Linked DNA regions of Arabidopsis thaliana. The protein of the gene in region 2 interacts with the protein of the main gene of each other region in a pairwise test. Each region holds a gene or a part of one and is shown on either strand. Other genes may lie near its edges.

Region 1 (3,960 bases), on a different chromosome or scaffold from region 2:
TTAATCATATGCTATTTATTCTCACGAAGAAACTTTGAAAACCTAGTTTCTATTACTACCACTTTTATTGGACTCTCAAATGATTGGGTAGCTAACTTGTTTTCAAAAATGGGGTTTGATGTTTTATTTGATGTCTTTTTTAACATGATTTTAGGCCAAAACCTCAATTTGTCTATGTAATAACATCAAGATAACAAACTAAAACGAAGTGGTTTTTTTTTTATTATAAACTTGTCAGCCAAATTTATCCAATCGGCTAAGATAAGTAACTAAAAGTTTATATAGTCACTAGTCAGAGATACTAACCAAATTTAGGAAAAGCAATATCCACATTTTAAAATTTAAACATAAGGGACACGTGTGGATATCGGTGACTCAAGATTTTACATGAATTATTTTAGTAGAGTCGTGTGTACCCCGTGAAGGTGATGAATTACAAAGATTTCAGCTTTTGCCGCTATCAACATAGTTATAAATTGTAATATTATTTTTTGCTGTGTAAATTATTTTCTTAGTTCTTGCTTAGCATGAATAAGTATATCATCCAATGTATACAGAAGATGAGCTTTCTTACACAATACTATATAGTAAGATAAAGTTTCCAGAAGTGATAACTAAAACTTGTAACTCAACCATTAATACTCAACAAAACGCGAACTCTAAAGTTTAAATGAATTCTTACTTAGCAATATTTTTAAGCTAACTATGAATATAACATCCATACCTCAAATTAAATCAATCATAACATATATGTTACTAATCACATCCATATATTGCTTAGGCCTTAGGGTATAAGGCAAATACTTCATTCTTATAAAGCAAATTACTTTCCAGTAAAAATGAGACAAATAAATAAATGTGTATCACTATTAAGTATCATTTGTTTGTAGTAACACCGAATAATAGCGTTTATTTTCTTTTAAAAAATATCTCTCTAAATCTAGAATTAATAAAATATTATTTTACTTTCTTAGTTGTTTTGATTAAAAAAAATGAAGTGATTAGATATAAGTATATAACATCACGAATTTTTTTTTGCGGATTGTATTTTCTTGATAATTTTGATTCGGAAGTTATAATTGTGGCTTAATGAGTTTACCATTTCTTTTTTTTTTTTTTTTTTTTTTTTTTTTGAGTTTACCATTTCACTTCACATATATTACTGTGTTCTGTAATTTTGGCCAAATCAACACTTTAATATTTTGTTTGTAGAAAAACGTATCTTGAAAAAAGCCAAACACGGTCCACGTTAAAAGAACCAATATATTAAAGGCCTTTGTTTCTTCTCTGGTTTAACACTCACGTGAAAATATGCAGTGAAAAAGAGAGTTTTTCTATAAAGAGTGTTAAAAAGGACAAAAATATACTTTAATAAAATAAATTTTAATTAATATTCATGTCAAAAACAAGAGAAATTTAATCAATACTCCAAAAAAACGTTAAAAAGACACACAAGTCGAATGGAGTTAGTTTTTTTTTGACGTAACATCCTATGTTGTCGTCTCTGCCACGTCAGAAACCTGCTGTAGAAAAAGACCAGAGACTGCTAAAAAGGTAAAAAAGTAAAAAAAAAACCTGCACACCGCAACGGTCTAATTTGTTTTTACTTAGTTAGCAAATGACCAAAACACCCCTGTCGTTGAACGAAAAAGAGCGATTCTTCGTAGAAAGGTTTTAAGAATTTAATTAGATTTATTAACCACCCTTGATTACTGCTATTTATTTAAATTCTTAAGGTCAAAGGTTAGACTAAAACCGCATCCTCCAAGGTCATTAAATACAAATTTTGTTTCCCTTAATGACAAAAAAAAGGATTGTAAAACGCCGCAACCGCCGTTTCAATATCCTATAAAAGTCTCTGTTCTATTCAGAGTCACTCTCTTCACTTACATGTTTTGCTCTGCTTCTCTCTTTATCTTCTTCTTCATCTTTTGTCACTCTTTTCTTCTGCTCTAAACTTTTTCTTTTCGCTGCAAAAAAAAATTCCCAGGAATATTTCTTAAAAGAAATTTCATCCCTAAATAAGAAAAAAGCATCTCCTTCTTTAGTGTCCTCCTTCACCAAACTCTTGATTCCATAAGCATATATTAAAAAAGCTCTCTGCTTTCTTCAACTTTCCCGGGAAAATCTTCTTGTTACAAAGCATCAATCTCTTGTTTTACCAATTTTCTCTCTTTATTCCTTTTTTGCCCTTTACTTTTCCTAACTTTGGTCTTTATATATAAACACACGACACAAAGAAGAACACACATAAGTTAAAACTATTACAACAGTTTTAAAGAGAGAGATTTAAAAAATGGAGACAGAGAAGAAAGTTTCTCTCCCAAGAATCTTACGAATCTCTGTTACTGATCCTTACGCAACAGATTCGTCAAGCGACGAAGAAGAAGAAGTTGATTTTGATGCATTATCTACAAAACGACGTCGTGTTAAGAAGTACGTGAAGGAAGTGGTGCTTGATTCGGTGGTTTCTGATAAAGAGAAGCCGATGAAGAAGAAGAGAAAGAAGCGCGTTGTTACTGTTCCAGTGGTTGTTACGACGGCGACGAGGAAGTTTCGTGGAGTGAGGCAAAGACCGTGGGGAAAATGGGCGGCGGAGATTAGAGATCCGAGTAGACGTGTTAGGGTTTGGTTAGGTACTTTTGACACGGCGGAGGAAGCTGCCATTGTTTACGATAACGCAGCTATTCAGCTACGTGGTCCTAACGCAGAGCTTAACTTCCCTCCTCCTCCGGTGACGGAGAATGTTGAAGAAGCTTCGACGGAGGTGAAAGGAGTTTCGGATTTTATCATTGGCGGTGGAGAATGTCTTCGTTCGCCGGTTTCTGTTCTCGAATCTCCGTTCTCCGGCGAGTCTACTGCGGTTAAAGAGGAGTTTGTCGGTGTATCGACGGCGGAGATTGTGGTTAAAAAGGAGCCGTCTTTTAACGGTTCAGATTTCTCGGCGCCGTTGTTCTCGGACGACGACGTTTTTGGTTTCTCGACGTCGATGAGTGAAAGTTTCGGCGGCGATTTATTTGGAGATAATCTTTTTGCGGATATGAGTTTTGGATCCGGGTTTGGATTCGGGTCTGGGTCTGGATTCTCCAGCTGGCACGTTGAGGACCATTTTCAAGATATTGGGGATTTATTCGGGTCGGATCCTGTCTTAACTGTTTAAGAAATAACTGGCCGTTTAACGGCGTTTAGTGAAGTTTTGTTACCGGCGACGGCGAGGATTAAAAAAAAACGGCGATTTATTTTTTGAATGAAGATTTGTTAAATATATTAAACTTTTTTGTAACTTAATTAATGGTGATTTTATTTTTAAATAAAACTAATGGTAAATGGTGAACTTTTTGGCGTTAGCCGTTAAGTAACGTCTGTATATGAACGGCGTGGAGGCAAAACACGCACGAGTTTCTTCACGCTTTACTACTTTTCTTTCTTCTTTTGGTCTTTTGACGTATCACGTGTTGTCTCACGTGACGAGGAATCACCGAATTTGTGAAAAGCTTTGGTTAATCTTTCTTTTTATTGGGTTTATTTGACAAATAGCAATATTAGCAAACCATAATTGTTCTACTTTTGGAGCAAATGTTTTAGAATTACACGTGGGGGAGAATCGAATCCTGGCAAGTGTCTATGCAAAAAAATGAATTTGATTCATACCAACTCATATTATTTTGAACTTTAAGAAAGCTACATGTGTGGAAAAACTTCTATAATACAGTAGTACTTTAACTTTTGTTCTTTTTTAACTCTATAGTAACTTTTTCTATTTCCGTTTTAAGTCTCTATACCTGTGACATGTCTTATAATGGGCAGCTTTTTTATTGACAATTTCTATTTTCATAGAGCATACATTCCTATATACGAACAAATTAAAATCAAGTCGGTCTAGTCGAGGAATAACCATTATTAGAAATGTGATCTAACTAATCCAAAAGCTAGCTCAAAAGTCAAAGATTGCTATATCTT
Region 2 (4,328 bases):
GGTGACTTGTGAATTTGTTGTGATAAAGATCACATTAATTTAAATAAAATCAGCTGTTCAATTTGCGGAATAAATAGTTGGCGAAAATTGTGCTTATAAATTTTACAACGGGATGATGAAGTACAATAAGCAAATCAATTTTGTGGATAAAGAAATGCATATGATTGTCTTAAGTTTGATTTAATGGTGTAGAATAAAAACATATAAAGACAAAAGTTGGTTGAAGTGTCAAACAGAGTGAACTCCGTAAACAGCCTCTTTTTCTTCACACCTTAAGAAACCATAGACGAAAAAAAGTTTACATATTTTTAGAAAATTTTCGATCTTTAAAAAATTTATGAGGAGATTTGTTAACCTTACATAATACTTGACAAGAGAATGATGAAATTTTTTTAGACAAAAAAAAACACGTTGAAAAGTCTCATATATGATGTCACTGATTTTTAGATCAAAATGTTGACACCCCAATTTGATCGGGAAGCAAGAAAACCCGGAGAACAGATATAAAATTAAATTGTTCTATTCTACACAAAACCTTGGGCATTTGTTAAATTTTAACTATTTACGGTTTATTTTAACCATCTCCACTGAGAATTTATCGTTACGTTTATGGAAATGACTACACACATCTTCGTTTTTCTAATCATTTATAGGTGTGTACTTGTTTTTCCTTCAAATTTTCATTGTTTCACTTGAAAAGTGCACTCTGAAAAATAGAAAGTACACTGAAAATTCATTGTTGTTTTCACTTAAAAAGTGCATACTGGACAACAAAAAACCTCAACAAACAAACGATCAAACAAGAGAGTGAGAGACCTAAAGATATTTTTTTCCACTAGCGCTTCAACAAAGAAAAAAGAAGAGAAGCTTTCATTTAAACGTGGTACGTTGAAGTATACATGATGATGTAATAAAGTACTACAATGACTCAACAACGCCAGCTCTTGGAATGGATATTAGTGGGAGAAGAAGATCCAACAACTTTATCAACCAGCTTCCTCAATCCCTTCTTCTTCTTCGGGGTCTTCTTTTCCTTATCCGTCTTATCTTCTCTCTTCCTCTCTTCTTCAACTTCTTCCTCAAACTGTGAACACAGCTTAAGCACTTGCTCCTCTACATTATTAAGTCTCTCTAGCAAAGTTCCTTTCCGCTCAGTCTCCTCCCTGACTTGTTCCATCGAACGGCAGTGTACCTTCCCTATGCTCCTCGGTGACGACAGATCCATTGACGATGGCTGAGTCCCACTAGATGGAGTCGATGGGCTCGAGCTTCTAGGCGAGCTTCCTTTCATCTCCTCTAACTTCCTCACCATGAAATCAATACGATCCAATCTTGAAAGTATCGGTTCTTCTACAACAGCCATTATTGATAACAAACGACAACGTTTCCAGAAGCTTTGGTTGTGTCGGAATAGTTGAAAGACAGTATCGAAAGCAAAACTCGTCTTCTCTTATTAATAGAGTAATAATTGGAGATTGAAAGAACACGAGCTAGGCCACGTTTAAATATTGCAGAGAGAGTTCATGGAGACTCACACGTGTTGTTGATAACACGTGGTGGTTCCAGCTTGCGGACACCTCTTCTGTCTCATACTCCAACATTACCCATTCTTCCTTATCTAATCCCTAAAATTTCTTTACATTATGTCGGGAACAAGATAATGTATTTTGGATGCTTGTATAAAAACATTATCTTATCCCAAGTACATTTACCCTAATTTATTTATTTCTCCATAAACTATACAATGTTTTACGAGGTGTATGCGAAACAGTGAAAGCATGTCCAATAATTTATTTTGAAGTAGTCGTCATGCATCTTCATTCCTCAACATCACCATGTCCATTCCTTAAATTGATCATATGATAAATGGGCCTAAAAGGCTCAAACAAATAAGCCCATGTAAATATCCATCGATTTATTCAGGCGAAAGGGTGAAACATACTGTAGTTCTAAAAAATTAATGGTGTCGTCAAAGAAACCCAAGGAGAAGAAGGCGAGGAGCGATGTCGTCGTCAATAAAGCGAGTGGTCGGAGTAAACGCAGCTCCGGTTCCAGAACGAAGAAGACGTCGAACAAGGTTAACATTGTGAAGAAGAAGCCGGAGATTTACGAGATCTCAGAATCATCGAGCAGTGACTCTGTGGAAGAAGCAATAAGAGGCGATGAGGCGAAGAAAAGTAACGGCGTCGTGAGCAAGAGGGGTAACGGAAAGAGTGTAGGAATTCCGACGAAGACGAGTAAAAATCGAGAAGAGGACGATGGAGGCGCGGAAGATGCTAAGATCAAGTTTCCGATGAATCGGATTCGGCGGATCATGAGAAGCGATAATTCTGCTCCTCAGATTATGCAGGATGCTGTATTTCTTGTCAACAAAGCCACGGTATAGTACTAATTAGACATATAAATTTAGCTTGAGGAACTTAATTTCACATGGTTTTTGATGAATTTGGGAGTATCAATTGCTAGTCAGTGTTAATTGGGCGTTATAATCTCGCAAATTGCTACAGTAATGAGATTGTTTCTGTTAATTAAGCCGGGAATTAACGTTATTGCTTCATCTCCATGTGTGTTTGATGAAACCGTAGTTACTGTGCTTGATTGTCATAGGTTTAGCTTTTACATCCAGAACTTGTAGACACCTAACACATGAGAAAGTCCTTATATATGATTTAGGTTCATATTTTCAAAGCTTAAGTGATGAGTGTTTAATTTTCCTGTATTGGAACTTGGCATTGTTTTTTCTTTCTTTTGATTTCATCTTGTGTTCATCGAAATTGATGTTCATTGCGTTTACAGTACATTAACTGGTTTTTGTGATTGAAGGAGATGTTCATTGAGCGGTTTTCTGAAGAAGCTTATGATAGTTCCGTCAAGGACAAAAAGAAATTCATCCACTACAAACACCTCTGTAAGCTCTAATCTCGTCCCTATTTGCCAATATCTGGTTACCTCAATACTGAATCCCATGTCGAAAATCTCATGCTGCTGCACCAATTGCTGAACTTAGGATTTCTGGCTTCTGCACAAGGGCCAGTAGTTAGTCTTAGGAAGAGTTTAGATAATGAGTTAATCCGTTCGTATCACTTGCAAGATTTGTTGCACTCCTAACATAATTGATGACACTGTCATTTCTACTCGTTGGCAGCATCCGTAGTGAGTAACGACCAGAGATACGAGTTCCTTGCAGGTACTTAATAACCTCTGAAGTATTCGTTTTATGAGTTCCATGTGGTTTACGAACAGCATTTTAATACCTGTAATATCTTGAATGCAGATAGTGTTCCCGAGAAACTTAAAGCAGAGGCCGCGTTGGAGGAATGGGAAAGAGGCATGACAGATGCAGGCTGAAATAAATCCGGTTGGAATCGAACTGAACCATTTGGATTCAAATTTGTGTCCCTGTCCTGGTTTATACTTCATAGGTTCCATCCGCCCGATCTTCACCTTTCTTATTAACCACTACTGAGATTGCACATATTTGATTTCTAGAATGTATACATTTTTTTTCTTGTTTCAAGTTAAAATTTGTAAGAGTTGTCGGAATTCTAATATCTTTCTTTAGTATCTATATATACATTTTTGCAGCCATTTTGTGAAATAAATTTTGTAGTTGGACTTATTTACAATGGCTGCCACTGGATTTTGATGTTTGTATTTGATAATTAGAAAGAAAATCTTCGAATTAAATATTTGACATTTAACAATCTTTCCAAAATCTCTCCACATTAACTAAACAGAGACAAAATTACAAAATATTTAGACAATGATTCATAAACATATCATAAATAAGATCAACATTAATAAAATAAATGGTTTTTTTTACTGGACGGGTTTGACAGGACGTTACTTAATAATAATTGTAAACTATAAAATAAAAATATTTTATAGTTAGATACAATTTGTAAACTTTTATATATACTAACATTAAAAAATAAATTGTTTCCGCGGTGTACCGCTGAGTTAAAATCTAGTTATAATTATAGGACAATTGGTCAGAAAATATTTAGAAAATATTTTTACCATAATTATTCTTACTAATCAAATTATAATATTAGTAAAACAAGCCAATTATCAAAAAAAGGTTTTTAAAATCATTCTTCTAGACCAATTTGAAAAAACTTTCCACATTTTCTTTTCTTTTTACACATTTTATAATTCTGTTATAAAATAAATAATCCAAAATAAGAGTTTGGGGGTAAAACTAAAAATTCAAATAATATGATGGGTATGAATAAAAATTAGGGTGGGTCCACCAGAAGCAGCGACTGAGAGCAGCTCTCAGCCGGGAAAATCCGACGATCCCTAAAACCCTTTTCCTTCTCTTTGGT

Evidence for each region. Proteins that work in one complex are often made in the same cells at the same time.
Region 1: the proteins of NF-YC10 (region 2) and CRF1 interact in a two-hybrid assay, tested with the Arabidopsis thaliana proteins (one large-scale study listed by BioGRID).

What each region holds. Positions count from the first base shown.
Region 1 is NC_003075.7:6,794,130-6,798,089, reverse strand, and holds CRF1 (cytokinin response factor 1), read left to right. Parts: upstream 1-1,691; 5' UTR 1,692-2,296; coding exon 2,297-3,160; 3' UTR 3,161-3,460; downstream 3,461-3,960.
Region 2 is NC_003070.9:2,472,543-2,476,870, reverse strand, and holds NF-YC10 (nuclear factor Y, subunit C10), read left to right. Parts: upstream 1-1,742; 5' UTR 1,743-1,960; coding exon 1,961-2,380; intron 2,381-2,823; coding exon 2,824-2,908; coding exon of another isoform or gene 2,909-2,919; exon of another isoform or gene 2,920-3,145; coding exon 3,146-3,187; intron 3,188-3,274; coding exon 3,275-3,348; 3' UTR 3,349-3,706; downstream 3,707-4,328. Other genes in the region: AT1G07985 (uncharacterized protein), read right to left, coding at 929-1,363.